3 linked regions of the Diceros bicornis minor genome follow. The protein of the gene in region 1 binds, or shares a complex with, the protein of each later gene. Links are inferred from orthologs where the notes say so. Each region holds a gene or a part of one and is shown in the gene's direction. Other genes may lie near its edges. The genes, in order: MAP2K1, KSR2 and KSR1.

Evidence for each region.
Region 2: the proteins of MAP2K1 (region 1) and KSR2 are in contact, whole or in part, in a crystal structure (PDB 7UMB), measured with the Homo sapiens proteins. The link is inferred for Diceros bicornis minor from reciprocal best matches to the Homo sapiens genes MAP2K1 and KSR2. Residues at the interface, in NP_002746.1 of Homo sapiens: Val81, Glu102, Met219, Ala220, Asn221, Ser222, Phe223, Val224, Gly225, Thr226, Arg227, Ser228, Met230, Arg234, Leu235, Gln236, Gly237, Met308, Ala309, Ile310, Phe311, Glu312, Leu314, Asp315, Val318, Asn319; in NP_775869.4 of Homo sapiens: Lys674, Arg818, Asp820, Lys821, Leu822, Arg823, Ile824, Gln825, Asn826, Ile837, Arg838, Gln839, Leu840, Ser841, Pro842, Gln877, Pro878, Ala879, Glu880, Ala881, Ile883, Trp884, Gln885, Gly887, Thr888, Met890.
Region 3: the proteins of MAP2K1 (region 1) and KSR1 are in contact, whole or in part, in a crystal structure (PDB 9AXH), measured with the Homo sapiens proteins. The link is inferred for Diceros bicornis minor from reciprocal best matches to the Homo sapiens genes MAP2K1 and KSR1. Residues at the interface, in NP_002746.1 of Homo sapiens: Asp217, Ala220, Asn221, Ser222, Phe223, Val224, Gly225, Thr226, Arg227, Ser228, Met230, Arg234, Leu235, Gln236, Gly237, Met308, Ala309, Ile310, Phe311, Leu314, Asp315, Val318, Asn319; in XP_011523731.1 of Homo sapiens: Asn767, Gln768, Leu769, Lys770, Leu771, Ser772, His773, Leu776, Val784, Arg785, Met787, Thr788, Pro789, Asn823, Gln824, Ala825, Ala826, Glu827, Ala828, Ser829, Ile830, Trp831, Gln832, Gly834, Ser835.

Annotation. Positions count from the first base shown.
Region 1 is NC_080744.1:60,564,044-60,574,196, forward strand, and holds the start of MAP2K1 (dual specificity mitogen-activated protein kinase kinase 1), read left to right. Parts: upstream 1-5,746; 5' UTR 5,747-6,036; coding exon 6,037-6,116; intron 6,117-10,153. UniProt on the Homo sapiens protein: Dual specificity protein kinase which acts as an essential component of the MAP kinase signal transduction pathway.
Region 2 is NC_080774.1:15,000,119-15,010,472, reverse strand, and holds the start of KSR2 (kinase suppressor of Ras 2), read left to right. Parts: upstream 1-6,270; 5' UTR 6,271-7,311; coding exon 7,312-7,491; intron 7,492-10,354. UniProt on the Homo sapiens protein: Location-regulated scaffold connecting MEK to RAF. Has very low protein kinase activity and can phosphorylate MAP2K1 at several Ser and Thr residues with very low efficiency (in vitro).
Region 3 is NC_080757.1:20,097,485-20,108,386, reverse strand, and holds the start of KSR1 (kinase suppressor of Ras 1), read left to right. Parts: upstream 1-6,174; 5' UTR 6,175-6,306; coding exon 6,307-6,537; intron 6,538-10,902.

The DNA of each region.
Region 1 (10,153 bases):
AGTTATATAACTTTCTAAAAGCCTATAAAATTTGAAACAAAAAACACAAAATGCTCAGAAGTAAATGTTTTAATGTAAGAAAGGCCTATATTATTCTTTCAATCTAAAAGTAAAACAGAACAAATAAAAATACGTTTTGCTCAGTCTGACCTATTTTCTGAGGAAAAAAAGTTTTATTGTGATTTCTCTCCCCCCACCCCCCTGCCCCGTTTTACTGGCATATAATTGACACATAACATTGTATAAGTTTAAGGTGTACAAGGAATTGATTTGATACATTTATATATTGCAAAATGATTATCGACATAGCATTAGCTAACACATCCATCCTGTCACATAATTACCATTTCTTTTTCGTAGTGAGAACATTTAAGATCTAGTCTCTTAGCAACATGCAAGTATATAATACAGTATTATTAGCTATAATCACCATGCTGTACATTAGATCCCAAAACTCGTTACTCTTACAACTAGAAGTTTGTACTCTTTGACCAATACCTCCTCATTTCCTCCACCCGCCCCCTCGCCCCCACCCCACCCCTGGTCCCTAGTAACCACCACTCTACTCTCTGTTTCTCTGAGTTTGGCTTTTTTAATAATTTTTATTTATTTATTTTTTTCCCCAAAGCCCCAGTAGATAGTTGTATGTCATAGCTGCACATCCTTCTAGTTGCTGTATGTGGGACGTGGCCTCAGCATGGCCGGAGAAGCAGTGCGTCCGTGCGCGCCCGGGATTCGAACCCGGGCTGCCAGCAGCGGAGCGCACGCAGTTAACCACTAAGCCACGGGGCCGGCCCGAGTTTGGCTTTTTTAGATTCCACATGTAAGTAATATCATACAGTATTCGTCTTTCTCTGATTTATCTCACTTAGCACAATGCCCTCAAGGTCTGCCGTGTTGTTGCAAATAGCAGGATTTCCTTCTTTCTTGTGGCTAAATAGTATTCTATTGTTATTCTTTATCCATTCATCTTCTTTATCCATTCATCCATTCACAGACACTTAGGTTGTTTCTACATCTTGGCTATTGCAAATAATGATGCAATGAACATAGGAGTGCAGATATCTCTAGGAGATCCTAACCTCAATTCTTTTGGATATATACCCAGAAGTGAGATTTCTGGATCATATGGGTAGTTCTATTTTTAATTTCTATTTATTTGAGGAACCTTCATACTGTTTTCCATAGTGGCTGTATCAATCTGCATTCCCACCGAGTATTCCCACCAGTATACAAGGGTTCTCTTTTCTCCACACCTTGCCAACACTTGTTATCTCTTGTCTTTTTGTGATAACAGCCATTCTAACAGGTGTGAGAGGATATCTCATTGTGATTTTGATTTGCATTTCCCTGATGATTAGTGATGTCAAGTGAATTTCTTTTTCTTTTCTCTGGTAATTGTTTTATTGAAGGGTAACATACAACCAGAAAATCATAAACGGAACACACTTGTGTAACCTGCACCCAGATCAAGAAAGCAAACACTACCAGTACCCTAAAAGCCCCCTTCAACTCACCTTCCTATTACATTCCTCCTCAAGGATAACTACTACCCCAATTTCTACCACCATAGATGAGGTTTACCAGCTTTGAACTTTATATATAAAGTAGTATTACTTTCTTTCTTTCTTTCTTTTTTTGGTGAAGAAGATTAGCCCTGAGCTAACATATGTTGCCAATCCTCCCCTTTTTGCCGAGGAAGATCGGCCCTGGGCTAACATCTGTACCCATCTTCCTCTACTTTATATGTGGGACACTGCCACAGCATGGCTTGATAGGTGGTGCATAAGTCTGTGCCCAGGATCCAAATCTGCAAACCCTGGGCTGCTGAAGCAGAGTGTATGAACTTAACCGCTATGCCACCAGGCTGGCCCCATGGTGAACATATATATTGATTTCTGTAGGTTTGTGCCTAGGGGTAGAATCTCTGGGTCATAGGGCAGATGTAAATTAAACTTAATAGATACTGCCAAACATCTTTTCAAACTGGTTGCGCAAATTTATATTCCTACCATCAGTGCAAGAGAGTCTTGTCCTAGTTGCTCCACATCTTATCAACATTTTCTGTTATGTATCCTTTTCAATTTAGCCAGAATAGTGGGTGTAGTATCATAGCAGTCTTTTTTAATTGTGGTAAAATATACATAAAATTTACCATTTTGACCATTTTTTTTTTTTTTTTTTGTGAGGAGATCAGCCCTGAGCTAACATCCGCCAATCCTCCTCTTTTTTTGCTGAGGAAGACGGCCCTGGGCTAACATCCATGCCCATCTTCCTCCACTTTATATGGGACGCCGCCATAGCATGGCTTACCAAGCAGTACTTCGGTGCGCGCCCGGGATCCGAACCAGCGAACCCCGGGCCGCCGCAGCGGAGCGCGCGCACTTAACCACTTGCGCCACCGGGCCGGCCCCTTGACCATTTTTAAGTATACAATTTAGTGGCGTTGAGTACTCATATTATAGTTTTTTTTTTTTTTTTTGTGAGGGAGATCAGCCCTGAGCTAACATCCATGCTAATCCTCCTCTTTTTGCTGAGGAAGACCGGCTCTGAGCTAACATCTATTGCCAATCCTCCTCCTTTTTTTTTTCCCCAAAGCCCCAGTAGATAGTTGTATGTCATAGTTGCACATCCTTCTAGTGGCTGTATGTGGGACTCGGCCTCAGCATGGCCAGAGAAGCAGTGCGTCAGTGCGCACCGGGGATCTGAACCCCGGGCTGCCAGTAGTGGAGCGCGAGCACATAACCGCTAAGCCACAGGGCCGGCCCTCATATTATAGTTTTAATTTGCACTTTCCTGATAACTAAAGAAGTTCAGCATCTTTTCATGATTATTGACCATTTGGATATCTTCTTTTATTAAGTGCCTTGTCAAATCTTTTGCCCATAATTCTATTGGATTGTCTGTCTTTTTTTTTTGTTAATGTGTAGGAGTTCTTTATATATTATGGATACGAGTTCTTTTTCCAATATATCCATTGCAAATCTCTTCTCTCTTTTTACCCTTTTTGAAGCTCAAGCAGTGGAGCGCACGCACTTAACCGTTAAGCCACGAGGCCGGCCCTCCAATATTTTCTTCTAAAAGTTTTATTTAGTTCTATAATCCATCTAGAGTTGATTTGTTATGTATGGTGTGATGTAGGGGTCAAGACATTTTTTTCCATATGGATAGTCAACTGACCCAGCACCATTTATTTAAAAGACCAGAGCCAGCCCTGTGGCTTAGCAGTTAAGTGTGCGCGCTCCGCTACTGGCAGCCCTGGTTCGGATCCCGGGCGCGCACCGATGCATCGCTTCTCCCGCCATGCTGAGGCCACATCCCACATACAGCAACTAGAAGGATGTTCAACTATGACGTACAACTATCTACTGGGGCTTTGGGGAAAAAAAAAAGGAGGAGGATTGGCAGTAGATGTTAGTTCAGAGCTGGTCTTCCTCAGCAAAAAGAGGAGGATTAGCATGGATGTTAGCTCAGGGCTGATCTTCCTCACAAAACAAAAATAAATAAATAAAAAAATAAAAGACCAGCCTTTCTCCCACTGTACTGTATTGTCAACTTTGTGATAAATCAGGTGATCAAATACATATGGGTTTGTTTCCAGACTCTTTATTCTACTCCATTGGTCTAGTTGTCTATTCTTGTGCCAGTGACATACTGTCTTAAACACCCAATCTTAGATAGATCTGATATCTGGTAGTGTAAATACTCCAGCTTTGTTCTTCAAGATTATCTTGGCTATTCCAGTTTTCCCCTGAATTTCTTTGTTGATATTGTTGTTTTAATAATGGCTTTTTTGCTGTTAGCGCCTTTGAGTGGATTCTGACTCCTAGCGACCCCACGTACTGCACAACAGAACACTGCTCCATCATTTTGCATTATCCTCTCACTCCTGGCACTATATCCAACAATGCTGCTATTCATAGAGTTTTCATGGCCGATTTTTTTGGAAGTGGGTGGCCAGGGCCTTTTTCCTATCTGTCTAGTCTGGAAGCTCTGCTGAAACCTGTCCATCATGGGTGATCCTGCTATTATTTGAAATACTAGTGGCATAGCTTTCAGCATCACAGCAACACACAAGCACTACAGTATGACAATTAAGAGATGGGTGGTGGTTTCCCTGACCTGGAAACGAATCCAGGCCGAGGTGGTGAGAGGATGGACTCTTAACAGCTAGACCATCAGGGATGGTAAATAACAGCTTTATGAAAAGACAATTCACATATCATACAATTCATCCATTTAAAGTGTAAAATTCAATGGTTTTAATAAATTCACAGAGATATGCAATTATCATCACTGTCAATTTTAAGACATTTTCATCACCTCATTAAGAAATCCCTACCCTTTAGCTATCATCCTACTATCCCTTGTTTACCTGCCCCCACCAAGCCCTAAGCAATGTCTAAGCTACTTTCTATCTCTATAGATTTGTCTATTCTGGACATTTCATATAAATGAAATCATACAACACATGGTCTTTTCTGACTGGCTTCTTTCACTTAGCATAATGTTTTCAGGTTCCTCCATGCTGTAGCATAGATCAACTCTTCATTCCTTTTTATGGCTAATATTCCATTGTATGGATATGCCACATTTTGTTTATTGATTCATCAGTTTATGGACATTTGGGTTGTTTCCCCTTTTCGGCTATTATGAATAATGCTGCCATAAACATTTGTGTGCAAGTTTTTGTATGGATATATGTTTTTCATTTCTCTTGAGTATATAGTTAGGAGTGGAATTGCTGGGTCATATGGTAATTATATTCAACTGTTTGAGGAACTGCCTGACTGTTTTCTAAAGTGTCTGCACTATTTTACATTCCCATGTTAATATTTTTAAAAGTTTTTTTTGTTTTTAATTGAATAGGTCATATATATAATAAAAAATTCAAACAGCACCAAAGGCTACAAAACTCCCTCTATATATTGCAAACAGTGGCTGACACCCTGCTCTGGACCACCAGAAGCACATGCTTCCTTTGTTCTGCACACCTAATGCCTTTAAGACTGAATACTGTAGGAAGGGCAAAGGAGAAGAGGACTGAATGTGCATTTTTGAATAGGTATCGTCCCTCTTTTATTAAACTCTTTAGTCATATCTTCTTCGAGTTTTATAGAACTGGAATAATTGGTTGAAAGGTTTTTTTTAAGGCTTTAAAAAATATTACCAATCTGCTCTGAAGAAAGGTTGCCCCAATTTACAGTCTCATCAGCACTGAGTCCCATCTCCTTGTACCCTCGTTAGTAGAGTAGCAGTGTATATTACCATTTTATACATATTTGCCAGTTTGTTAGGCGCAAGGAGTCTCTTCACAAATTTTCTATTCCCCCACGCTGCCTATCCGCTAGAAACGAGAAACGGTCCTTTTCCTTATTCATTTTATTATTTCATCTCCGTCAACGTGACTCCGCCGGAGAGGCTAGCTTCGGGAACCAGCACGCGCGACCTCCTTTCCCGGTGGGTCCACCGGGTGGCTCCGGTCACCAGAGGGCGCTGTGGACCCAGCGCCGGACCCCGCCCCCAGGACGGCGCGCCGCGCCCCCGTGACGTACTTCCGCGTTATCCGCCGCCGAGGCGTGCTCCCATTGGCTGTCGGCGAGGCAATGGGGGGGGCGGTGCCGAGTGGGTGTGTGGAAAACGCCGCAGCCCGGTAGGGGGCGAGGCTTCCCCTTTGCCCGCCCCTCCCCCGCCCTCACCCCTCCCCCGCCCTCCAGTCCCGCCCTGGGACGGCTGCGCGGAGCGGTGGGAGCGCGGCGACGGCGGCGCTTTCCCGGGCGGTAGCTGGAGTGGGGCTCTGGTCCGCGCGGCGGGGCCGCTCGAGCCCGGGGCACCGATTGACTGAGGGAGGGAGGGAATCCCGGCCGCTTCCGGGCACTCGGCGCCGACGGGACCGCGAGGGGCGCGCCCACCGAAGGCAGCCCCGGGCCCGCGGCCCCGACTTGGCCCGCGCGGCGGGCGCGGGGCAGCTTAGAGGGAGGAAGCAAGAGGGGCCGCCCTCCCCTCGGAGTTGGAAGCGCCTTCCCCGGGTCCAAAATGCCCAAGAAGAAGCCGACGCCCATCCAGCTGAACCCGGCGCCCGACGGCTCGGCCGTTAACGGGACCAGCTCGGCGGAGTAAGTCTGGGTGGGCGGCGAGCTCCGGGGCCGGGCTGGGGAGGCCGCGCCGGGCGCGGGAGCCGGGCCGGGTGTGCGCGCGGGCTCCGCTCGGGTTGGTCACGTAGGTCGCGGGCGGGCGAGGAACTCCCGGCCGCCGAGGTATCGGTGACTAAGCACTGATTATGCTCCTGACTCAGACCGGTCAGTGGACTCGACGAGTCTCGATCTTTCCTCCCCTTTCCCGACCTTTTCAGTCATTCCTGGCCACTCCCTATCTCCCCTCAAAATAAAAACTGGTTCATCCCCCGCCCCTCCCCAGCTGTTTCCCGGCTCCTCTGGGATTCTGGCCTGACCGGGGAGAAGGGAACAAAGGTCTTGGAAAAAATTAAGATCACGTCTGCGTCTTTGAGACCGGCTCAGGGTGTGGAGTGTGGAGTTGAGACTGGCGAGCCGCATCCTCACCTGGCTGCCCGACACCTGTGGGCGGGCAGTGCCTCCTTGCGGCCGCTGCCCGCCCAGCGGGGGCGTGTGTAGGCCGACTTCCCCGGGGTTTTCCATTGCCGACTTTGGGGGCTCCCGGTCCTTGGCCTTCTTCCTGGAAACTGTCTTGACTCGGAGGAAGCGGCTTTCCCCCTTTTTTTTTTATAATTTTATTTATTTATTTTTTTTCCACCAAAGCCCCAGTAGATAGTTGTATGTCATAGCTGCGTATCCTTCTAGTTGCTGTATGTGTGACATGGCCTCGACATGGCCTCAGCATGGCCCGAGAAGCGGTGCCGTGGGTGCGCACCCCGGATCCGAACGCCTGCTGCCAGCAGCGGAATGCCTGCGCTCAACCGCTATGCCATAGGCTGGCCCTAGCCTTCCCTTTCTTGATCTGACTCTTCATTCATTCATTCAGCAAACCACTCCTCACCCATGACTCCCCTGACTTTCCTTAGTTGGCTGTGAGCCCTAAAAACTCCTGGCCTGAGACAAGAACACCATGGCCGTGGAAACCACATGCAAGTTGCTCCATCTCTGCAGCTTCCAGTGTTGCTAACAGTCCAGCACTTTATTTAAACAATCAGATAACGATGAGGCTGTTTCATGGGTGTTTCTGAGCTCCCACAACTCTTTTGTGTCCTGGGTAAGGGACAAGACTGTGTGAGGGAGAGAGACCCAGCTAGCTGGAGAAATAACCAGAAAAGATTTGGTTCTTAATCTTTTATCTGCACACTGGAGACTTTAGGAAGCCAGCTGATGAAATGAATAGAGTGGGTCTGGACCTTCTCCCCTTTGGTGATTTCTGTAACCTTCCTTTCTCTCTAGATTTTAATAGCCCGGTGACCTTTGACTTGGTGACTCTGTCCATGCCTGTAATGATCACAAGGCTGGTGGTGGACCTGTGGTGTGAGCTCAACCAGGTTCCTCAGACCTGCTCCCAACAAACCCCTTTCAGTACTGTCGTGTCTATTTTGCATAATATTGACTTATACAGGTCAGTAGATTGCTTTGCAAACATTCAGTTTTAGTGTACAGAATTTTATCCCCTTAAACAAGACCGAAAGCCTTCCAGTGCAGGGCAGGACAGGACAAGTTTTGACCACAGTGGATTCTAGCTGAATGTTGTGGCCTGATCATCCTGCTCCTATTTGATTTGGAGGAAGGTACTGAGTAGAAGTACCTGTTGTCATTCTGTTATTAATTGTGATGCCACAGCTGTATGCTTGCAAAGGAGGGGAAATTTCCCGTAAAGAAAGCAATGTTGGGAGGAAGAGAAGAAACTACCCTGCAGTTGGCAGAAAAATTTGGGTGGGACTGGGAGATTCTAATCAGTGGTTAAGAGGTTGGACTCTGGAGTCAGGCTAAGTTTGAAGTGTGGCTCTGTTACTTTTGGTTTTGTGATCTGGGACAAGTCTCTTGATCTGTCTAAGGCTTAGGTTCAGTTTTTTCATCTGCGAAAATGGGGCTAATGATAGAACCTACTTACAGTAGTTGTGAAGATTAAATGAGTGAGTACATAGTAAACCTTCCATAAATGTTAGCTGCTGGTATCTTAGGTACTGGGTAAATGTTGATAAGGCTGAAGGAAACTGGAAGGTAATTTCCGTTGGTGGTGGTAGATTTGTGTGTTAAGGTGCCTTTGCTTCTGGATAAACGACTCTCCCTCGCTTAGTTTTCTGTGCCATCTGCATCTACCTCCGTGACTCATTGCTGTGTTACAATAGGAGGCATCTTTGTGTAGGCTGCCTGAGACAAACAGGGACTGTTCCCCTACATTATCTGGCACTAATGGGGGGCAAGCTATACACATCTTCATTTTTCACCTTTGTGTTTCTCAAGCAAAGCTGCTGTTCTCATGATTTCTGTGATTAGACCATGGCACAATTCTGAATGTTATCATACAATGTAAACTAAAGAAGAAAAAAAATCCATTGACAGTAAAGAACTCGGTACTAAATTGGCAAGGTTGCTTCTCCTCTGAGGCTCCCTGGCATCTTGGGATTTACCTCTGCCGTAGCACGTACTCCATTCAGACGGAGCTGGGTTATATGGGACCTGAAGTTTATGCAAGTTCTGGGGTCCTTGGAGAACAAGAATGCAAAAATACTTCTTTTGCAAGTTTTGCAAAAATGTATGAGCATATTGCAAGGGTGCGAAGTGTTAGAATGTAATAAATTGGAAATAAGATCATATCATTCCCCCACTTAAAATGTTTTCATGGTTCCATTGCAGTTAGAATAAAATCCAAGCTCCTTATATTGGGCTGTGAGACTGAGTAATCTGCCTGTTGTGGCCCCCACCCCCATCTCTTTCACCACATTTCCTGCTGCTCCTTTCTCCCACCACACTGGTCCTCTTTCACTTCCTCCATGGGATGGTCCATACTCCTTCCAGGCTCTTGCACATGCTGTTCCCTTTGCCTGGAATGAATCATCGTTTCCTCTTCCCAAGCTAGGAAGGAAGCAATCTTCCCTCCTCTTAAATGTCATTTCCTTAGAGATGCTCACAGACCACCTAATCTAAAGTAGGTCCCTCTTTTTCATGTCATCTGATTTTTTAATGACACTCATTCACTGTCTATAGTTTTTTACTAGGGTATTTTAAATATCTGTCTCTTCTGTATACCATGAACTATAAGCATAGGGCTACCTTTTTTTGATTCATTGCTCTGTAAGTAGTACCAAGAATACAGTATCTGGCACACAAGTGCACAAATGTTTGTTGAGTGAATCAGTGAGTGAATGCAATTTCTAATATTTGCACAATGTGTTTAACAAACCTTTTTATACCTTTTCATTTTTCTTTAATTTTCCCCTTTACTCTCATTCCCTTCTCCCCATTTCCTTTTCTTTCACAGGCACCCAGTCACCCACTCTAGGGTATTTAATATACAGTCTTATAATTCCACCCATTTGTTGGGTATATGTGTACCTTTGGGAGGTGGATAGTATTGTTTTGTGTGTTTCTGTGCTTAGAGTGCTCAATGTTATTGTGCTCTTATTCAGCCTTAAAAAAGAAGGAGATCTGCCATTTGCAACAACATGGATGGACCTGGAGGACATTATGCTAAGTAAAATAAGCCAGACACAGAAAGAAAAGTACTGCATGATCTCACTTACATGTGGAATCTAAAAAAGTGAATACATAGAAGCAGAGAGTAGATAGGTGGTGACCAGAGGGTGGGGAGGTGGGGTAAAGGGGGAGATGCTAGTCAAAGGTACAGAGCTGCAGTTATGTAGGATGAATAAGTCTAGAGATCTAATGTACAGCAAGATGATGATAGTTAACAATACTATACTGAATACTGGAATTTCGCTAAGATAGATTTCAAGTGCTCTCATCACACACACAAAAAATAGTAACTATTTGAGGAGATGGAGATGTTAATTTAATTAGCTTGACTAAATAAATTTGTAGTAATCACTTCATCATGTATATGTATATCAGGTCATTATGTTGTACACCTTAAATACATTCAGTTTTTATTAAAAATGCGATTGTGCTATAAATCTGCATCAGTTGGGATAGACTAGGTTATGTTGAGGTAATGAACAACCGCTATATCTCAG
Region 2 (10,354 bases), on another chromosome or scaffold:
GGCCCTCTTTGCCACATCCTGGGGAAAAGCCATCTAAAAACAAAGCTGACACAGAAGAAAGCAGAGCTGAGAAAAAAGGATGGTACCAGGCATACAGTGGAATATTATGCAACCACAAAAAGGAGTGAAGTACTGATAACACTACAACACGAACGAACCTTGAAAACATTATGCTAAGTGAAATAATCCAGACACAAAAGGACAAATATTGTATAATTCCACTTATATGGAATATCCAGAATAGGGAAATCCATAGAGACAGAAAGCAGCTTAGTGGCTGCCAGAGGCTGGGAGAAGCAGGGAATGTGGAGTGACTGCTAAATGTGTGTGGGGTTTTCTTTTGGGGTAATGAAAACATTCTGGAACTAGGTAGTGGTGATGGTTGCACAACATTGTGAATGTACTAAATGTCACTAGTGGTAAATTTTATGTTATGTATATTTGACCACAATAAAAACAAACCAAAAGAACCAGAACTTCAACCAGGCTGCCTCGGAGGGATGCCATGAATGTTGTTCATAAGGTGCCCACATTAGGGGGGCAAGTCTGAAATCCAGACTGTACTCTGTCCCCCCAGGTGTGTACCTTTGCAGAGCAGCTGCCTTTTTCTGACTCACGCAAAGACACCATTTGGGCTAATGCAGAACTTCATAGAAAAGATGGCGGAAGAAGTACGCTAGTTTGGTGGATGGCATCACTTTACTGCAATTTTCAACACCACTCCTCCACGGCACATCTCCAAGTACTTGGAGAGTGCCACAGTACGCATCCTCTCCCCTCCTGAGGGTGCTGTATCTGAAAACTCACAGTGCATCGCTGAGTGCTTAATTTGTAAAGCCAACATAAATGACTGGACTAGACTGTCCATTACCGTGAGCTCAAATTATCTCGCCATCAAGAGAATGAGCTGGTTGCTTTGCTCACACTGGAAAACTAAGAGACAAAGAGGCAAGAGGCCAAAAGGAGAACTCTAGAGAAAGTCAGTTTTCAGATGTTGGAAAAACTTCACAAGGTTAAAGAGAGGGACATTTTGCCTGCACTCACTGAAGGTATTTTTAAAAAGCCATTTATGTTTTGGGGATCAATGAGTTAGAACAGAACAATAATAACCATCTTGCAGCGATGATTTTTTGGGTGTATCCCGGGGACTAGCATTCTGAGATTTTTTTCTTCTCCTTGAAGAATCAATAGAAAAAAGGAGAAAAGAAAAAAGAAATGCCCTGGGAGGGCAGTATGTTGAGCCCTTCAAGGAGAAGTCAGTGTTAGTTTTGTTCAGTTCCAGGGGCATCGGCCACCCCTTTACCTCCCAATCTGCCATTTCCCAACTTGGGTCCCTGTTCACAACGCAACTTAGAAACTATTGGGGCCAGCTCATCACTAATACAACAGGATGTAGAATGAGACTTTTCCTGTTGACCCAGAACTTCAGCTAAAGCTTCAAAGGTGAGGGCAGTGGGTAACAATACTTCCTCCTTCTGTTAAGAGGTGGCCAGACTGGTCCTTTGAGTATCAATAACCATCAACCTCCAGCCTATACAAGACAAGGTCAAGATTTTATCTGACAGGCCTTTGTAGGGAGCTTTTCTTCTCCCTTTACAACCCCAAGCCAAGAGAGGAGAGTTCAAAGAAGAATCGCTTTTGAGACTGGGAGCACCAGTGGGGGGTGGCTGGCATCTCCCCCAACCGGCTGAAGGCTGCCTGGGGCTGCCCATGATGGCAGTGAGGAGAGACGGCAGCAGGGCAAAGGTGCAACCTGTTTCCCACGGGCCAGGGAGTACGCACTTAGGCTTGAGTCATCCTGAAAAGACTCACCCAAGAGGGGAGCCTGCCAGGCAAGGGGAAAAGAATGTGGGGTGTGTCCTGGGGTATGAATGGAAAAGAGGTGTGCAAGAGGTCAGCTGACGCGTGCAATGAGTCCCCACGGGGGTCTCCAAAGATCCCCCAGTGTGTCTCATGTAAAAGCCAGCATGTGAGTGCTTGCCAGGACATGTGGGGACATCTGACACTCGAGAGAGTACTATACCTGTACTCACCTGTTCTCAGCTCAGGGTCCCTTTTCCACTCCTCTCTCTGCTCCAGGTGAGCTGGAGAGGAGGCAGGAAAGGACACACCTGCCCTTGTCTCCACTGCAGATTCATTAGCCATCCGTGGGTCCAACTCGAGGGGGTGGGGAAGAAGGTATTAAACTGGATATGAGAATGAAGTTTTGATTGGACTAGACTGGACTTCTAATACCTGAATATGAGACTGTTCTTAGAGTTGAAACTAAAAGCTATGGGATCTAATGAGATATTGCCAAGTTCAGCTCACTCAGTAGCCCAATGACAATGATTTATTTCTGCCATGGATAAAGCCACTCTGAGACACGCATCATTCAGAGGTCATATGCAGTTTCTGGGATGAAATAAAACAATAAAAACAACAACACAATTCTCATCAGTTAGCTCCTGTTCTCCAAGCTTGAAATTGGGGAGGTTCTTATTGGTCTGAGGTGCAAACCACCTTAAGCTATACCAGGAGGAGCAACACAAATGCCTACAGGGGCCAGGCAGGAAACAAATAATGAATGAAGGGGGCTGGGTGGGGACTGTGGTGAACTGGAGAGCCTGTGTCCCATCTGGAAGGGACAGGTGCCTCATATCTAGCCAATAGTTGCCCAACGTGGCCAGATCTTCCCATTTTCCCAGAAAGGCCAGAAATCTCCATTTTTTGTAGTATTTCCTGATTTTGGAATTATTGGCAAGAATATTAGTCAGGGTTCTTTGTTGCAAACGACACAATCTACTCCAGGTCGTTTAAGCAGAATTGCTTTAATAGGGCGGTACTATGGACTGAATTGTGTGCCCCCAAATTCATATGTTGAAGCCCTAACCCCCCATATATCTTTACAGTCTTTAGGAGGTAATTAAGGTTAGATGAAGTCAAAAGGGTGAGGCCTTAATCAAATAGGGCTGTGGCCTCATAAGAAGAGGAAGCCATATGAGTCACGTCTGCCATGTGAGGATACAGCGGGAAGGCGCCATCTGCAATCCAGGAAGAGAGCTCTCACCAGACCCCAAACATGCCAGCACCCTGATCTCAGACTTCCAGCCTCCACAACTGTGGGAAAATAAGTTTCTGTTGTTTAAGCCACTCATCTATGGTATTTTGTTATGGCAGCCTGGGCAGACTAAGACAGGTGGTTAGAAAGCCTATAGAATTTCCAGGAGGACAAGAGAGCCAGGCTCGGACTGTGCAGCCAGGACTAATGTGAAACCACACTGTGGGGCTGCCCCTATGAACACCACGCCATGCCTCTCAGCACAGACATGAAGCTTACACAGGGGCAGGACACCTGGAAACAGGTGCATTGGCTGCTATGCTCACTAGCAGATAGATTCCTCCCCTTTGTTTCTCACTTTCCAGCAGAAATCTCATGTGATGTGTCAAATGGTAGAGCTTAGATCTCATGAGACATGGTTGCAAGGAAGGTGCTGGAAAAGTGCTTCAGTTTCTCTTATGGAGAGGTGGAACTCATAATGTGGGATATTTTCCAAACATAGAAGGATATTCAAAGGAGGCTAGGTGGATGCAAAGTATAACAAATGTCCACTACAGCAATCAATTGAAAAAAGGGGAGGGGTCAAACAGACGCATTTGTGTGGTGCTTATAGCTCTGCCAGTTGATGACTTCTGACCTCTGGGCTATTTTCACTGTTTAAACTTCCACTTCCTTTGAAAACAACTAGAAAAGTCAGATCAAATCATCATCATCATTTCATCATCATGTGCTTAATGACATTCAGAGAGCTGCTGAAGCAACCAGGACCGAAGGGGCCAGGATTCTGGAGAGAGGGGAACCGTGTTGAGGCGAGCTGACAGTCTGCAGCCACTGTTTCCCTGGGGACGTTTGCAAATTTGGGCAGATGGAATCTAGACTTTTCCCAGCTAAGGGGGCTGCTGCTGGGGGACAGAGAAACCAGCAGAACTTTTGGCACTCTCACAGGGTTGGAGACACAATCGGGGACTTGAGAGGCTAATATCCCAGAGAGAAGGGAGGGGCAGAAAAGTGAGCTTGATGGATGGCAGTCTTCCCCTTAAAGCATTTGGCAAATTCCGAAACAGTGCAGGCCAAGAGGCTAAGAAGCCAACCAGAAAGCCCCTGAAAAACAGAGCAGTTTTCAGCAGTCTTGCCAAGTTATGGAGACAAAGATGAGTGCTCAGGACAAGAGGGGAGGGGCTTTGGTGAACACCCCAAGTTCTCATTTGGAATCCCTGAAAGGCAAAGCCTTAGGAATGGGGGTCAAAGTTAGATGGTGTCTTATCAGACCTGTAACCCAGTCTCCACTCAGCTCAGCCTCTGATAGAATCAAGATGATCAGTCCCCACACCATCTGTCCTGCAAAGAAAGGGTGAGCCCTCTCCAGAGCTGGATAACATCACCTGGAGACTCTGTATTTTTTCATACACAATGCCTGGCATTCAACAATTACAAGACCTGCCAAGAGACAGGACCACATCACTGAAAACACAGAGAAAAACAGTCAATGGAAACAGACCCCACGGGTGACCGAGGTATCAGAATTAGACAAAGGCTTTAAAATAACCATGATTAATATGTTCAAGAAAAACAAAGCAAAAGATGGAGAAAATAGATGAAAAGAGAATTTTACCAGAGAATTGAAATCCATAAACTTCATAGTCCAAAAGCGTGAGAACATAGAGAACTCTCCTGAGCTCCTCATGACAGAGAGATTTTGAAAATGCTGATTCAGCTCTGTATGAGCAAAAAAAACCCATGGCCCACAGTCTTAAAAAAAGTTTGCCTTTGGGGCCGGCCCTGTGGCTTAGCGGTTGAGTGCGCGCACTCCGCGACTGGGGGCCCAGGTTCGGATCCGGGTGCGCAGGGACGCACTGCTTCTCTGGCTATGCTGAGGCCACATCCCACATACAGCAACTAGAAGGATGTGCAACTATGACATACAACTATCTACTGGGGCTTTGGGAAAAAAACAAAAAGAGGAGGATTGGCAATAGATGTTAGCTCAGAGCCGGTCTTCCTCAGCAAAAAGAGAAAGATTAGCACGGATGTTAGCTCAGGGCTGATCTTCCTCACAAAAAAAAAAAAAAGAGTTTGCCTTCACTGGCTGTCATTCTCCATACCTCTCAAGTGGCTTCCTTTTAAGGGGCACATATTGTACCATGTGTTCTGAGTCTACTCTGCCCTGTAAGCCCAGTTCCCTGGCATGGAGCTCTGGTCACCAGGAGAAAGAGATGTCTCTTGCTAACAATCCTCAATACATCCTTTGGGCAATGTGTGTTGAGAGTACCATTAATTGAGGTGGTCAGAGATGAAGCCTCTCTGAGATGACATTTGAGTTGACCCTGAGTGACAAGGAGCCAACCAGGAGAGCTAGGGGGAAATGTGGTCCAGGCAGAGTGGATATAGAGTGCAAAGAACTCCAAGGCAAGGATATGTTTGGTGATTTAATCAGGGGTTGGCAAACTTATCTGTAATGGGCCAGATTAGTGAATATTTTAGGCATTGCAAGTCATACAGTGTCTGTTGCAACTACTCAATTCTGGTGTTATAATGCAAAGTAACCACAGACAATAAATGAAAGGGTGGCAGTGTTCCAATAAAACTTATTTATGGACACTGAAATGTGAATTCTTTATAATTTTCACGTGTCAGAAAATACTCTTCTTTTGATTTTTTTCCAATCATTTTAAAATGTAAAAAGCATTTTTAGCCCTGAGGCCATAGTTTGCTAATATAAGGTCGGTTAGGTAGGCTGGGATCAGATCTTTCAGGGCATGTCGGACACAATAACAGTCAGATTAAGGCAAAGCCCCTTTCCCCCTCCAAATGGACAGCCACCGGCAGGGTAACTGCAGGCCAGGGCACCAATGCTGCGAGGCCGCTTCCCACAGCTCATGGAAGATCATCAGGTATGTTTTATTTTCCACCAGTAACAAGAAAGGACAAATGAACGAAAAGACAGACACGCACATCGAGCCAGAAAGCCAGAGAGGACGTGCCCAGGTTCACGCTGATGTTTCTCCCGCACGCACTACGGGTTTTAAAGTTGGGCGCACACCTGCTCCCAGCCAGAGCGCACCTGCTGAGCAGTACTTGGCCTCGTCTCGCGAGAGCGCTGCTGTAGTAGTGGCCCCCACCCCCATCCCGCCACCAAATCCCTCTCCCCGCCTCCTCGCCCAGCCTCCGCGCTCTGGCACCCTCCCCGCCACCTCCACCGCCCCGGAGCAGCCTCGGCCGCCGCGCGCGCTTCCCCCACGCCCCCGCCCGCCCGTCGCTCGCTCGCACGCACGCCCGCTAGTAATTTCACTTTGCCACGCGAGCTCCGTATCCCGAGAAATCCCGCCCCCCGCTCCCCCTGGCCCCGCCGGGAGCCGGCCCTTTCCCCGGCCAGGTGCGCGAGCCTGCGCGCTCCTCCCCCGCCTCCTCCGGCGGGTCCCTGGCGCGCCGGGGCCGGGGCCCGGCTGGGGCGGATGCGCGCACGGCGCCTCTCCACCAACCCGCTCCCCTGCAGGTCCCTCGCTCGCTCGCTCGCCATCCCTCGCCGGCGCTCCCTCGCTCCCCCCACCCCCCCTTGATTGACAGGCAAGATGTCGGTGTGGAGCGAGGCAGGAGCGAGTGCAGCAGCCGTCACCCCCGGAGCCCGGCGGCGGCAGCAGCAGCAGCAGCAGCAGCAGCGCGAGGAGGAGACAGCAGCCAGCCGCAGTCGCCGCCGCAGCCGCGGGAGCAATGCAGACAGCATCTTGAGAACGCGCTAAAGCCCCCAAACGCTGGACAATGCCGTGTCACTGCAACTGGGAGGGGGGCAAAGCAGAATTTTTTTGACATAAAAGCAAGCCAGCCAAAAATATATAATTTTGTCCTTCACGGAGCCGGTGTGTAAAGAGTGAGCGCTGTTTTCCTTCTCCCCCTCCTCTTCCTCCTCCCCTTCTCCCTCCCCCCACTCCTCCTCTTTTTCCTCCTCCTCCTCCCTAAGTGTACAGACAGCATCACATCACCTGGTTTGCTTCTGAGAAACAGCATCTCTCCTTTTCAAGGACCAGAGACTCAGAGAGAGGAGACATTCTAATGGAGTCTGCTTGATACCCCAAAATAAAATAATAAATTTTGGCTCCTGTCCCCTCCTCCCACCCCCACCCCCTCAACCCCGTGTGAGATGTTGGGTTTCTTCTTCATGAGACATTGTTGAGAAGTCGCAGTGGTTGGAGAGGCGGCGGGGGTAGACTACCTCCCCCCCCCCCTTTTTTCTCTCTGGGAGGAGGAGGAGGGGAAGGGGGCTTGCAGAGCAAGCGATGGATGAGGAAAACATGACGAAAAGCGAGGAGCAGCAGCCTCTGAGTTTGCAAAAAGCCTTACAGCAGTGCGAGTTGGTCCAAAACATGATAGACCTGAGCATCTCCAACCTGGAAGGGCTTAGGACCAAATGTGCTACCTCCAACGACCTCACACAAAAAGAAATCCGGACCCTGGAGGTAGGTGCTGCCTACGGGGGAAAAAGCAATCCTTGCTTCCCTCCGCTGTCTCCCCGCCGTCCCCTTTCCTTTAATTCTGTTTGTATGGGGGGTGGGGGGGGGTGGCAAGGTGGGCACGATGTGGTTTTCTGTGATTTATCTTGCAAAGCCTGCACTGGGTGGCCCTTTACTGTACTGCTGTCGTCTACGCTTGGCTGGGTGGTGGTAGTAGTAGTAGTAATTGTTATTCTTTATTATTATTCTTGCGGCTGTTATTATCATTTGCTTCTTCTCTAAGGAGTGAGTTCTCTCTTTTTTCCGCTCGTGGATTTGTTTATATGCCATGGGGGCTCGTGTGCCGGGTAAGACATTAAGGCGCTGCAGAGAACCCACAGAAAACCACGTGACCTTGCGCATTCTGCAGGTGGTCAAAAGGTGGTTTTGCTCGCAGAATGGGGCTGCCTATAAATACAGACCTCTTCTTCTCTCGGCCTGCTTCCCAGCGCCCCTTTTGCTCCTTGGATTTTGTGGTTTTTCCAGTGATGTATGTATGTCAGGAGGCAAGATGCATGAAAAAAAAATCCCCATTGAGCTACTCATTTCCAATCAAATCATTTGGATGCAGGGAGATGTTGCAGGCCTAAAACGCGTAAAAAGCTTAAAAAAAAAATAATTCCTGGAACAGCACACACAAGTGGTGTGGGAAAATACTCTTGAATCTCGGTGGGACCGGGAGGAAAGGGGTGGGAGGAGGAGTTATCGTTGGTTTGTTGTAACATTCTCTCCAACAGAACTTCAGGGGGAGTTTGAAGCAGTTTTGTGGGGGTGGGATGGATGCAAAGTTACTCAGAAAGAAGATGGCAGAAATTATTTCTTCCAAAAGCTATTTGGTCAAAGGCGGAAGGTTTCAAGAGCCTTAGAAAATGCCTGTGTCCATGTTATCATTGGGCATCCACGATGCTTGCAACATCTGAAGGGTTCCACTCACTTTTCTCTCTCAAACCGGCCCAGCCGTACACATGGCTTGATTAAATTTGGGAACTCCCATTAGCTGGCATTTGCTGAGAGTGGTGGCAATGGGGCTGGGAGCAAAGAACAGAGGTTCTGCCTGTGGTGGAGTGGGCATGTGCAATGCTGGCAGGTTCCTTCTATTTCCAAGGCCTGAACTCTTCAATCCTTACAGCATCTTTTAACCCTGGTGCCCCTGTTCTAGCCTGGATGAGCACCTCTCTCTGATTCACTGTCTTTCTTTTTCCTCTATGGTTTTAAATTTGGCTAGATGTCAGCCCGCAGGAAGGTCATCAGTTTGAAAGTGGAGTTTGTGTGTGTGTGTGTGAGTGTTGAATATGCTGTTTGCTACCCTCGAATGTGTGTCTAGGTGCACCTGTCATCTGGGAGAATGATTCTCAGAAATGAAATAAGATGAATGTCAAAGGGTGTTAGAGGAGTGGGAATTCTGTTGGGAGGCACAGGTCTTTTCTTTCTCAGAGGTTGGGGAGAGCAGTCTAGTCTAGGACTCTGCTGCTGGAAGAAAAATGTGGGATGCCCTGGGCCAGCCTCCTGTCTGAGCAGTGACCAAGATAAAATTCTGTTCAGAACTGCGTGCAGTAAGTAAATAAGTAACCCCAAAGAGCCACATGGGGTCTCTTCTGGTCCTCTGAGTCAGGAGTCCCAAATGCTAGTTTGCGTACGGCTGTGTAAGTTTCTCAAGTTTTCTTTGCCTCTTCAACGTGCTCCATCCTCTGATAACACCTTGGAGAATGGTGGTTGTCACAGTGGGCTCTGGATTCTGTGGCTTCTTTTCTGCCTAGTGGTTTTCTTTTTAAACTGGAGGTTGGAGGCATTGGTAGGGTGGGAGGTTGACGCTATTGAGAATGCATCTGTTTGTTTGTTTCCTAGTCCTAATATGCCACAGAGCATGCCAAGCACTTTATCCATATTGCCCAGGGAGAGCCTCGAGCAGTCATGCAAATTTAGGCTTCCCAGGTCTGTAGGGGTAGGGTGGGGCCACCGAGGAGGGGCTGGTGACTTGGGGTCCAGCCAAACCTCACGTAGGCTTTGGATCCACAGGATTTTTTATCCCAGAGGTTGTCAAATTTTGCATATCAAAACCAGCCAGGAGAGCTTATTAAAAATGCACATTCTCGGCCTCTAACGCCAGAGGTTCTAATTCAGTTGGGATTGGATGGGGGCCCAGGAATCTGCGTTTAATAAACAGTCAAGGTGTTTCTGATGCGTGTTTTCATATTGACACTTTGAGAAATACTAATCTATTAGGAGATGGATGGCATGGTTCAGCTATTTGATGGTGACGACTCTCTGCTCACAAATGCTAAAGAAAGTAGTAAATTGAACAGACCATCCCTAAAAACCTTGATAGTAAGCAAAATTTAGTATCATGCATATATGCCTGTAGAAACAAGAATATACATCATGGACTTAGCCTTCAAGAAACATACTTCGTGGTTAGGGAGACAAAGCTAATAATATATATGTGTGAAATAATGAGAAAGTCCAAACAGTGAATAACATGGGAGACAGCACAGTCCAAACAGTGTGGGGCCATTAGGAATGTGTTCAGCTGCGTGAAATGGTAAATCCATCCACAGTGGTTAAGCAAATAGTGGTTTCTTTTTCTCATGTAGCAAGAGGTCTGGAGGTATTTAGCTGCTGAGTTGGCTCAGTAAGTTAATAATATCAGGGCTGATGTCTTTGCGAATTCTGATGGCCTCTTCCTTGTGGTTGCAAGATGGCTCCTGAACCTTTCACCATTACACCCAGGTTCAGGGCAGGAAGGAGGGGCCCAGGTGAGTGTGAAGGAATAAAGGGTTCCTATCTTTGTTTGGCTTCTCCTCCTTCTCCCTACCCCACAGATGATGTTTAG
Region 3 (10,902 bases), on another chromosome or scaffold:
ATCACCTCCCGGCTTTCCCTGGACCAGTTTCTCCATGCATCGCCCAGAGTAGTTCTCTCCTGCCAGGTTGCCTATAAAGCCCATGACAACTTGGATGTCTTCTGTTTCAGGGCCGAGAAGACCTTTTTTCAAATTGGCTCCTTCTTGCTACCTGACCCAGAGCTGGTTCTGACCACACTGCATGGGTGGTGGTGATATCTTGTAGGATGAGCACCAAAGGCCACCAGGGGTCAGCATCCCTAGAGAGAGGCCCTGGTTTCTCCGTCTGTAAAATGCGACTCATCATTTGTTTATTCAAACACCGTGTGCCGTGTGCCCCGCCTGTCTACTTTATTTCCTTTACCCCTCTCGGCCACCCTGGAGGGGGAGATTGTTATACTCATTTTTACAGATGAGGAAATAGAAGCTCAGTGAGGCGAAAAACTTTTGCAAGGTCATACGGAGTCTAATTGAGTCCAATGAGGCTCACTACCCCGTCAGGGAAACAGGCAGGGAAAGAACCAGAAATGTGTGATGTGTGCAGAGTTCTGGAGGAACATGGAAGCCAGAAAGATTGATTCTGTTGTGGGAGAGGGGGTGGGGGCATATGAGCTAGATCTATGAGATGAGTAGAAATGTATGTGGGGGAGACGGAGAGGAGGGACTGTGAGCAGAAGTGACAGCCTGAGCAAAGGCACGATGACGTGACACTGCCTGGTATGACCCAAGGTTGTTGAGTAAAGGCAGTGAGGACCCACGGTTAAGCGGGCTTCCTAACCTTGTCTACGGCCCTGGGGTTCATGGGTACCCTGAAGGGGGCCCACAAACTTCCTGAAGTTGTATCCCAATTGTGAGCATGTGTGTGTTATTCTTTTCTAGAGAAAGGCTTTCTATTTTCATCAGATTCTTAAACTGGGATAACGACTCAAAAATCCTTGGGTAGTAGATTGGTTTGGAGGGGTGGGCAGAGCCTGGGAATGAAGGGCCTTGTAGGCCTTGTTCAGGAATTCAGACTTCACTCTGAGGTCAACAGGGAACCATGGGGTTTTCTAGCTGGGGGAGCAACATGGGATGGGCCTTAGGAAGCCAACACAGATTGCTGTGACCTCAAATCAAAGGAAAGTCCTTTTATCGACTATAAAGTGATGGACCATTTACTGCTCTATCCCAGAGTCTAGCACAGTGCTAAGCACATACTGGGGGCTCAGTAAATACTTGCTGAATGAATGAAGGAATAAATTAATGAATGAGCACAGGTGTATGTAATAATAATAGAGTTCATTATGACTCCACGAATTTCCTGGGTGATTTAACTGAAGGTGAAATCCAGGAAACCAAAGCTCCCCCTGCACTGCCTTAGGTTCCAACAAAAACCTGCTGAGTCCTGAGATAATGCTGGGGATGGAGGTGGGGATGGGGGGGAGAGTGGATTTGGCACCTGAGGGTGGGGCCACCCCTGACTGCAGGGTAGGGCTCCTCCCGCAGTGCCCTGCCGTAACTTTGGAGGAGTGGATGCTATCTGGCCAGGATGGCCAAAGTCATTTCTTTCCTCCTTCCACATTCAACCCATCGGCTTGTCCTGTTGACTCTGTCTCCAAAACGTGTCCTCCATCCCCTCTATTTCCTCCATCTCCTCCACTCCTGATCCTTGCCTGGGCTACCGCCTCAGTCTCAAAACCAGTGCCCACGCTTCTGCCTCGGCCTCTCTACCATCCAGTCTCCACATGGTGGGCAGAGGGATCTTTCAAAACTTCCCTTACAAGGAATGTGTCTTTCTTTCCACGTACTCAGAGAGCTATGCTTCTAAAACTGTAACATACGTTCAACTCATATGGGGATCTTGCTAAAATCTGGGTCGTGATTCAGTTGATCTGGGGTGGGGTTCGAGACTCTGCATTTCTAACAAGCTCCAAGGTGATGCAGTCATCTTGGACCACATCTAGCGTAACAAAGACTTAGAGAAAAATCCAAACTTCCTGCCCATGTCTTACTTTATCTGGCCACTGCCCAGCAATCTCACACCATGTCCAATCCCTGTTCTCTCTCATCATGCTGTAGCCAGCCACACTGGCCTTCATTCTGTTCCTGGAGTGTGCCAAGTTGTTCCTGCCTCAGCGCCTTTGCACATGGTGTTCCCGTCACCTAGAATGCCCCTTTCTGGAGCTCTATGGGGCTTGCTCTTTACTTTATTTAGATCTTAGTTCAATGATCAATCAGAGAGTACTTCTCTGACTACTTCATCTAAGGAGGCACCTCATCCCCTGGGGACTTGCTATCAGCTATTTGATTTTTTTCCCTTCTCAGTACCTATCATTCTCTGAATTTATTTCGGTGATAATATTTGTTGACTTGTTAGTTTCCTGTCTCCACTCACCTATGTTCCGTATGACCAAGGACTTGGTTTCCTTCATTCTGGGCTATCCCAGAGCCAGGCACATGATAGGAACCCTGTTCATGTCTTTTGAGTCTATACATGAGCATGTTTGCCTGGCTGCTGTGGTGTGGAGATGCACATGGGGGCGTCCAAGCTGGGAAGACTCAGAGTGACACTAACGGAGGTGTCTGAGGCAGAGGGGGAGGAGGGAATGAGCAAACTTTCCATACTAAGGATGCCACAGAAAAAGTCTCAAGAACCTGAGAAGTTGAAACTAAGAATCAACACACGATAGATGAATTCATCTAACCAGAAGAGATTCATGCTGGAAGATGGCGAAGGAAAGTGACTACCATTAGTTAAATGAGTTAAATAAGGCATCAGAGCAGAGCCTGGCACATAATATTTATCAAATAAATAAAAATAAATATGTTGACCCCTTACTTGGTGACTATCACTTTGCATAATGATCTCCATTCATCCTCACAACACATAATCTCCATCTTGCAAATGAGGAGAGGGGCTATCAGATTAGGAGACTTGCTCAAGGTCAGCCAGTGATTCAGAGGTAGACTGAGAACCCCACTCACTAAAACAGCTCTACTGAAAGTTGCAAACGCTGCTCTCCCTGCTTTCTGTTGCGCCATAGCACCTGTCACCACCTAATATACCGAGCAGTTCACTTATTTGTTTATTGTCCGTCTTCTCTCACCAGAATATAAATTCCCGAGGGTAAGGATCTTTGTTTTGTTCACTCCTGTTTCCCAGAGCCCAGAACAGGGTCTGCACATAAGTAGGCATGATGAATAATTATTGAATGCTAAAAGGATGAATGAAGGAACTATTTAAAAATCCTTGCTTTCTGTATCTCTAGGAGGCAGTTCTGTAAATGTGTGACTGACAGCACACCCAAACCCAGTCAAGAAGGCTGGAGTGCATCTGAGATGAACTGGCAAGCAAGGCTGAGGCTTTCTGGATGCTTTCAACAAATCAGAAGGAAGACTGTGTCCACAGAAGAGGGACTGGCCACACGGAGCCCGGTGGGAGAGTAGTCAGGGAGCTGGTTTGTCCAATCTCCAGCCCCGACACCACTGCCGTGGTGGCATGGGTAGGTATGGATGCCACTGGCTGGCAATGGCGCTTCTCAGGATATGGCTTTCCATATAAAGTGGCCCTGGGGAATAACGTGTCGACCAGGCCCCAGTGGCAATTACAAGCTTACCGTAAATGCATAAATAGGCACTTATCAGGAAATCTCTTGTGAATTGAATTAGAGTGAGTCAGTGGCTCAAGCCTGGCAGCTCTGGCTGCTGAGCAAATGGAGGTTCTGAACCAGCCAGGCTGCGCTGTGGACGTTCTGAGACAGAGTTCTCCTGGCCACTGACCTTCCTCTGTACCAAAGCTTCTCAAAGTTCCGCCTCCAGACCAGCTGCATCAGCATCACCAGAGAACTTGTTAGAAATGCAAATTCTCCAGCCCCATCCTTAACCTCCTGAATGGGAAACTCTGTGGGTGGGGTCCACCACTCTGTATTAACAAGCCCTCCAGGACATTCTGATCCAACCTCAAGTCTGAGACACAGTTTCTGTCTCAGGGCAATTATTATTGTGCTGCAGGGTGAGGAGGAGAGTCGGGGCAGGGGGTTAAGGTAACAGTCAGGTTGGGGGACATCATGGAGACAGTGCAGGGAGTCTTTTTATACAGGAAGTGAGGATTGAAGCAGTGACTGTTAGTGGGAAGGGTCAGCAGTTGGGGAGGACGTCCCTGCGTTTCAGAAAATCTCCAGAGGAGGGGTTAGTTTGCAAAAGTACTTTTTAAAGTTATCATAATTTTGTTTTTTAGACCTCATATTTAATTTATTTTGAAATTTCAAACCACAGCAAAGGAAGGTGTTATATAAACTGCCACCCAGTACTGACCGTATGTATAGCTCAGGCAGGAAAACAACGCTTGGACTCCACCTCCTGCCCAATCCTCGTTCTCAAAACAAAGTATACAGTGTGTATATATAGGGGGGTGGGGGGGGTGGAGTGGGGAGGGAGATAACCTACTAAGTGCCTAGGCCTGAGCTGGCCTGAGAGACAGGAGAGAACTCGGCATAGGACCTTGCTACAAGAACTCAAGAAACGGGTTGCACAACATTATGGAGCCCCTACTGTGTGCCACGCACCGTATTTGGCTCTGGGAAGAGGATACAAAGATAAGTTAGCCAGCCACTTCTGCAGCCAAGGAGCTTACAAGAGAAAATTCGGAGGAGAGAGATTTCTTCTGGTCAGCAGATGCTGGAAGTACAGATGTGTGAGAACTTTGACGAGGGTCTTGGCTTCTCCGTTTAACCAGATAATAGAGCCCTTGTGAACTGGGAGGAGGTGAGAGGGGAAGGTGGGAGGATGGGTTGGGGCTTGAATTCTGAGTTAGGAGGCACAGAAAGGTGCAGACAAATAGAGGACTACCAGTCCAGTAGCAGCACTGTGCCCATGCCCACTGCTTGGTCTGGGGCCATGTTTAGGAGATCTGAGGTTAGATAGTGACAATTGCTAACATTCATCCAGTGACTCTACGTGCCAATAGTCAACCTAGGTGCTGGGCGTACATTAACTCATTCTTCATATGAACCCTATGAGATAGGTATTATTATCACTCCTACTGATGGGGAAACTCAGACTCCCCCTTCTGGGAACCCAACAACGCTTTTGGCTGGTTCTGCCAAGTCCTTTACTACTGCACTTCCCAGCTATAATTTGAGAGATGAGGGCCCGCATATCTTACTTCTTCTTTGTACTGGAGGCTGTCTCCACTAGAACCCCTTAAATAGTGTCATCTTCCCACCAAAGGCTTCCTTCCCCAGCAAAATCCTTCCTACGCCAAAATCCAATGTTGGGGGGTGGAGGGGTGGGGTGGGGGGAGTCGGCGGGTAACTACATTTTGAGTAGCGAAACCCCCGTGGCAGTGCGAAAGGAAAGCACCGAATGCCTGACCTGAACAGCAAAAATGCAGTTTCACCAAACACTTTTTGAAAAGCGGCAGAGGGAACCTGAAGGAGGTCACACAGCTAGGCAGCGGTCGAGTCTGAGTTTGAACCCAGGCCATCTGCTTTAGTGGGCTCCCAAGCGCACGACAAATCAATGTGCAGCCTCAAGCGTCTGGGCCGACCTGCTGGGTCGGTGGAGGGATGGGACGCTTATTTTGGTGGGTAAAGAGGGTCCAGAAGAAAGCCCTGATGTCTTTCTCCATGCCTGAGCATTCCCTTTGGGGTAGACAATCGAGACAGTTCACAGCGCTTTGTGAACCAGCTACAGGACAAGTACTTTAGGCCCCTTCCCACTAGATGGCGGCCCCTAAACCCACAAAGAAATTCGGGAGCCTCCACTGTCCCCATCTTCCAGGGTTCGGCTGCGGGTGAGGAAGGGCAAAATGAGCACCCTCCACCGCTCTGGGGAGCCGCGGACGCTGCCCCGCCCCATCCGGAGGTCGCGGGAAACCCCAGGCTGGGGCGGGGGAGAGGGAAATGAGGCTCCTCAGACTCTGGGCGCCCGGGGGAGGAGCCGGCGCGGAGCAGCGACTCCCGGGGGGCAGAGGCGGGGCGATCCTGCACCGCCCGCACCCGCCGTGGAGCGGCAGGCCCGGACTGCGGGGCGCCGGGCGCGGGGCGCGGGCCGGGCAGCAGGTGCGCGGCACGGACTACAAGTCCCAGCATGCCCAGCTGCCCTGACCCGGCCCCCGCGGCCACTTAAAGGCTCCGGGAGCCGCAGCCGTCGGGTCGTCGCGGCTTTCGCTTTGCCGCCGCGGCTGGGCGGCAGCGGCGGGCTCGCGGCCGGCTCTCCTTGCGTCCCGGCTCCGGCAGCGCCGCGGTGCGCTCCTGGTCCAGCCCTCCCGGCTCGGGGCTTCGCTTCCGAGGCGCCCGCGCCCCCGGGCTCCCCGCCTCGGCCACCCCGCGGCCCCGATGCCGAGGCATGGATAGAGCGGCGCTGCGCGCGGCGGCGATGGGGGAGAAGAAGGAGGGCGGCTGCGGGGGGCACGCGGCGGCCGCGGATGGGGGCGCCGGGGCCGCGGCCAGCCGGGCGCTGCAGCAGTGCGGGCAGCTCCAGAAGCTCATCGACATCTCCATCGGCAGCCTGCGCGGGCTGCGCACCAAGTGCGCCGTGTCCAACGACCTCACCCAGCAGGAGATCCGCACCCTGGAGGTAAGGGGGCCGCGGCGCGGGAGAATCGGGGACCCGCGTTGGGCGGGAGAAGGCAGGGGTCGGCGGCCGGGGAAGCGGCCCCCAACACCTCCCTTGCTGCGCCGTTTCACTCATTCCCCAATTGCATCCTTGAGCCCAGGTCGCCCCCTTTGAGGCTTCCTCTCCCTCCTCCACTCGCTGATGCGGCAGCTTGAGGACCCAGGACCAGCCCCTCACCTTGGGCCGGATTTGGGGGGAAGGGCGGAGTGGGAATTGGGATGGAGGCTCGAGGAGCCCGTGGGAGGGGCGGGCTGCGCGCGGACATTCCCTGCCTCCCCACCCGCCCCCACCCCATTCCTGCTTGCGGGGCCGCAGGACTCATTCTCCCACTGAGTCACACGCTGGACGCTTCCCTGTGTGACTGAGCCGAGCAGCCGTGGGCCGGGGTGACGGGCGAGGGGATGTCCCCCTGAAGTGTGAGCGCAGGCCCGCGGTTCTCTGTCTTCCCCTCACGCCCCAGACCCCGTCTCATGCCTTCCTTTCCTCTACTCCAGGTTCTCTTCTGCCGCTTTTCAAAAAGTGTTTGCTGAGACTGCATTTTTGCTGTTCAGGCATTCGGTGCTTTCCTTTCGCACTGCCACGGGCGTTTCACTGCTCAAAATGTAGTTACCCACCGACTCCCCCCACCCCACCCCCCAACATTGGATTTTGGCGTAGGAAGGATTATGTTGGGGAAGGAAGCCTTTGGTGGGAAGATGACACTATTTAAGGGGTTCTGGTGGAGACAGCCTCTAGTACAAAGAAGAAATTAAGATATGCGGGCCCTCATCTCTCAAATTATAGCTGGGAAGTGCAGTAGTAAAGGATTTGGCAGAACCAGCCGAAAGCGTTGTTGGGTTCCCGGAAGGGGGAGTCTCCCCCTCCCCCATACACAATAGAGGGAAACTAGTGCATTCCTAACTTGCTTTTGTCTAGAGACTGGGAAGGCTGTGAAATTCCAGCGACCAGTTAATAGCTACTCTGTCAGAAGAAGGGGCCTCTTTCCACCTTACATTGCCACATCTGGCCTTCTGCAGATCTGGGATGTTTTGTTTTATTAGAACCTTAATTTCTCATTCAAACACCCCCCCCCCCCCCCCCCCCCCCCGTTGCTAATTGCCTGTGGCAGCTGTCATAGGGCCAGCCGGTGGTTTGTGGTAATTATTACAAGATCCAATCCTCTGTGTGCACCACAAGCCTGAATCCCTGTTTGATCCAAAATGCTCACGGGTGACTTCTCCTTCAGTTTTATTTTCTTGAAAGCTACGAACCCAGGGACATTGGAAGCATGCAATCAGTGCTGTCTATTATTTTTGTTACAGTTGCTATAGCAGTACTGACCAGGGCTTTGCTTCAAAAACAAACCAATCAACAAAACCCTCCACAACTGTCCCTTCTGCATGCATGCTGCTGTTTTCCAAGTGGTAAAGGAAACTGGTTTCTCGAACACAGCCAAGTGTATTTGCCCAGCAAAGCTCAGTTTTTAAACCGACACAATAGGGGGCCTGTGTGGCCTAGTTCTGGGAGGAGGGTCGTTGTCCGGCAGCATGTGTCTGGTTGGACTCTTGTGTTGTTGGGATGAGAGAAGGTTCTCCGTTGATCTCTCTCCACTGGTCCCCATGTCGCTCTGAAGTGCTCCCAGTTTCCAGAGTGTATACAGGAGAACTACTTGCTGAATTCCCAAGTCCCTCATTTTGACGAAGGTATGGCATCATGATACCCCAAAGCGTCCAGCTATTTAGGTCTCTGAGCTGCTTTATTCAGTGGTCCCCCCCGAGTGTTTATTTGATGATTGGCTCTGGCAGCTGGAAACCCACCCAAAGGCCAAGGGGATTTATCAGTGTTAACAGGAACCAGTACCTCACCCCCTGTCCTCTCCACTATGACGTGGATTCGAGTCCACCTACTCCCTGAAAAGGCGGGACTTGGGTTGTTTCTAGGGAAGGGAATTTAGGCCTCTGGAGCTAGTTCCCTGGGCCACCACCAGCTAGTTTGGAAGAATCACTTTATCCCGGGGGCCTCAGTCTCCCCACCTGAAGAAGGAGGTTGGAGTGGATCTCTGCGGGCTCGTGCGGCTCTAAATTCTGTGGCTTAGTGAAGGGGTCTCAGTTGGGTTGAATCAGACGTTTGCTATATGTACTCCTGTTTAAGAATGGTTCTAAAATCCAGATTTACCAAATGATAAAATAGGGGGGAAGTGTATAACTCAAAGAATCCTGACGAGAGGGGCAGGGGCAGTGTGGCAGACGGAAAGCCCATGGCTTTGAATTCGGGTCTGGGTTCTGTCTGAGTGACCTTGAGCAAGTCCCATGACTTCTGATTCTTAGGCTTCTCATCTGTAAAATGGGCACGAGACCACTTAAACCTGCAATGTTGTTGTGAATCCGTGAGTCTGCACTCTTACTCCTAAGAGATTTTGCGTATAAACTATCCCTAGTGAGGGTGTAATGACATTCCCACCACAGACCACCGTTAGGGGAGGTACTTCTATAGCTGGCTCTTATTTACTAGAGGCGGGTGACACAGGCCAGGAAACTGTCCCAGCAGCATGTGGTGAGCTCAGGCGGGGCAGGGCGATGTCCACTCTGGCTTTCTTTCCTGTTCTGCAGGCTCTTCTCACATACCAGGCCAGGGCCCCCAGAGACAGTGCTTGCAACACTGGATTCCTGGCCTTTGAAGAAGGGTCCAACCAGAGGGCCTGGCTTACGCAACAGTGCCAGACTTCTCCCAGGATGTTAGGAAGCTCAGTCCACTCTGGCCCTTATTAAATAAGCAGTCAGTGCAAGAAGCAACACGTGACATGCCTCTGGAAGTCCCTGACTGGGCCCAGCTGCTGGTGCCTGAGATTCCAGGTTGTGATGGGGTGTGGGGTCCTCATGTCTGGCTGCCCTGTGATGGCTTTTCTGTGTGTAGTGGTCCAGTTTGTATCCAAAAGAGTGAAAGGAGCCAAGATTTAGTGTCTGCCTCCTACCTGCCAGCCAGTGTGCTGGACCCTTCTCAGTCTCCTAAGATTTCCTGGAAATCCACCAATCTTCGTCACACTTCCATTTTTTCTCTCTGTGTGGGAAGGGAGGAAGACGAAATCTGAACCCAGAGTCTGAATCTGTAAAGAGAAGTTGTGAGGCTACTTCATCCTGGCAGAACCTGCTGTCCTGTCTCCATCAGACCCTCCTAGGGGTCTGAGAACTCCACTGAGGCAAGATAGAATGTTCTCATCCCCCCGATGTGCTCCCTTGGGACACCTGGCTAGAGCCTCACACCAGTTCATTCCCTCATTTATTCATCCTCAGTGAGCCGAGTCTGTGCTGGGCACTGGGGAGACAGTGGTGCCTCGTGAAGATTCACGTTTTGTGAACATTGTAGCTTTGCCCTTTCCCGCCAGCCTTTTAGTGCTTTCCAGAGACAAGCGTGGCCACACCGTCTCCCCACCTTGTGCTCTTTCAGAGAAAAGTCCCTGCTAAGCAAGCTGACCTGGAGAAAGGGGTCCCCGAAGGACCTTGCCAGGCCTTGCTGGGGAGGGGACATTGGGAAGCTGTGTAGGTACAGCCACTTCACTGAGAAGTTGCCCTGGAGCCAGGAGGTGCCTGGGGGAGGCCCTGCTGCTACTCAGAAAATGAGGGAGGCTTGCCCTTCTCCCACCTTGGCTGGGGCAGAGGTCCCTGCTGTGTGCAGGACCTGAGCTCTCCCCGTCGTCGCCCGTGCCACCCTCCCTCCCCCACCCACCCCCATGCTGGGAAAGGAGAAGGGTGCCATACATCCTCACAGATCAGGTCCTTGGAGAGTGCATGGACATGTATTCAGTCAACAAACCTTCAGTCATTACTAGTTTGCCTGCTGAGCTCCTAGCTGTAGCCACCCAGGCAAAGATTCCAAGGAAGGTAGGATGCTCTCTGGTCTTTGGGGACACTTTCAGTCTAATGGGGAATCAGGCGAGTGAACAGTAGTGACCCCAGGTACCATGGCTTGCTGAGAGTGCTTAGGAATTGGGAATATGACTGAATGGCTGGCGAGTCCAACCTCCTAGTTTTTTGGGAAATATTCCCAGAGTACTGGTGGTGGCCTGTCCCAGGTCACATGTCCCTGGCAGAACTGAGAGCGAAACCTGGTTTCCCTTTCCTCACCCAGCCACTGCCTTGGAGTGTGGCATTTCTCTGCTTCTGCTCTACCACCAGAGTTTTAACTTCCTCCTGGAGGTTCTTCCCTGCCATCCCTGAAAGGATGTGGAGATGGGGCACTGTCCCCTTGGCTGTCCGCTTCTACCTTGGCAGCTTTTTCCATGGTGAAACTTGCCACCAGCCTTCCTTGCAGGCGGCCTGGAGAGGGACCTGCGGTTTCCCGAGGCTGATG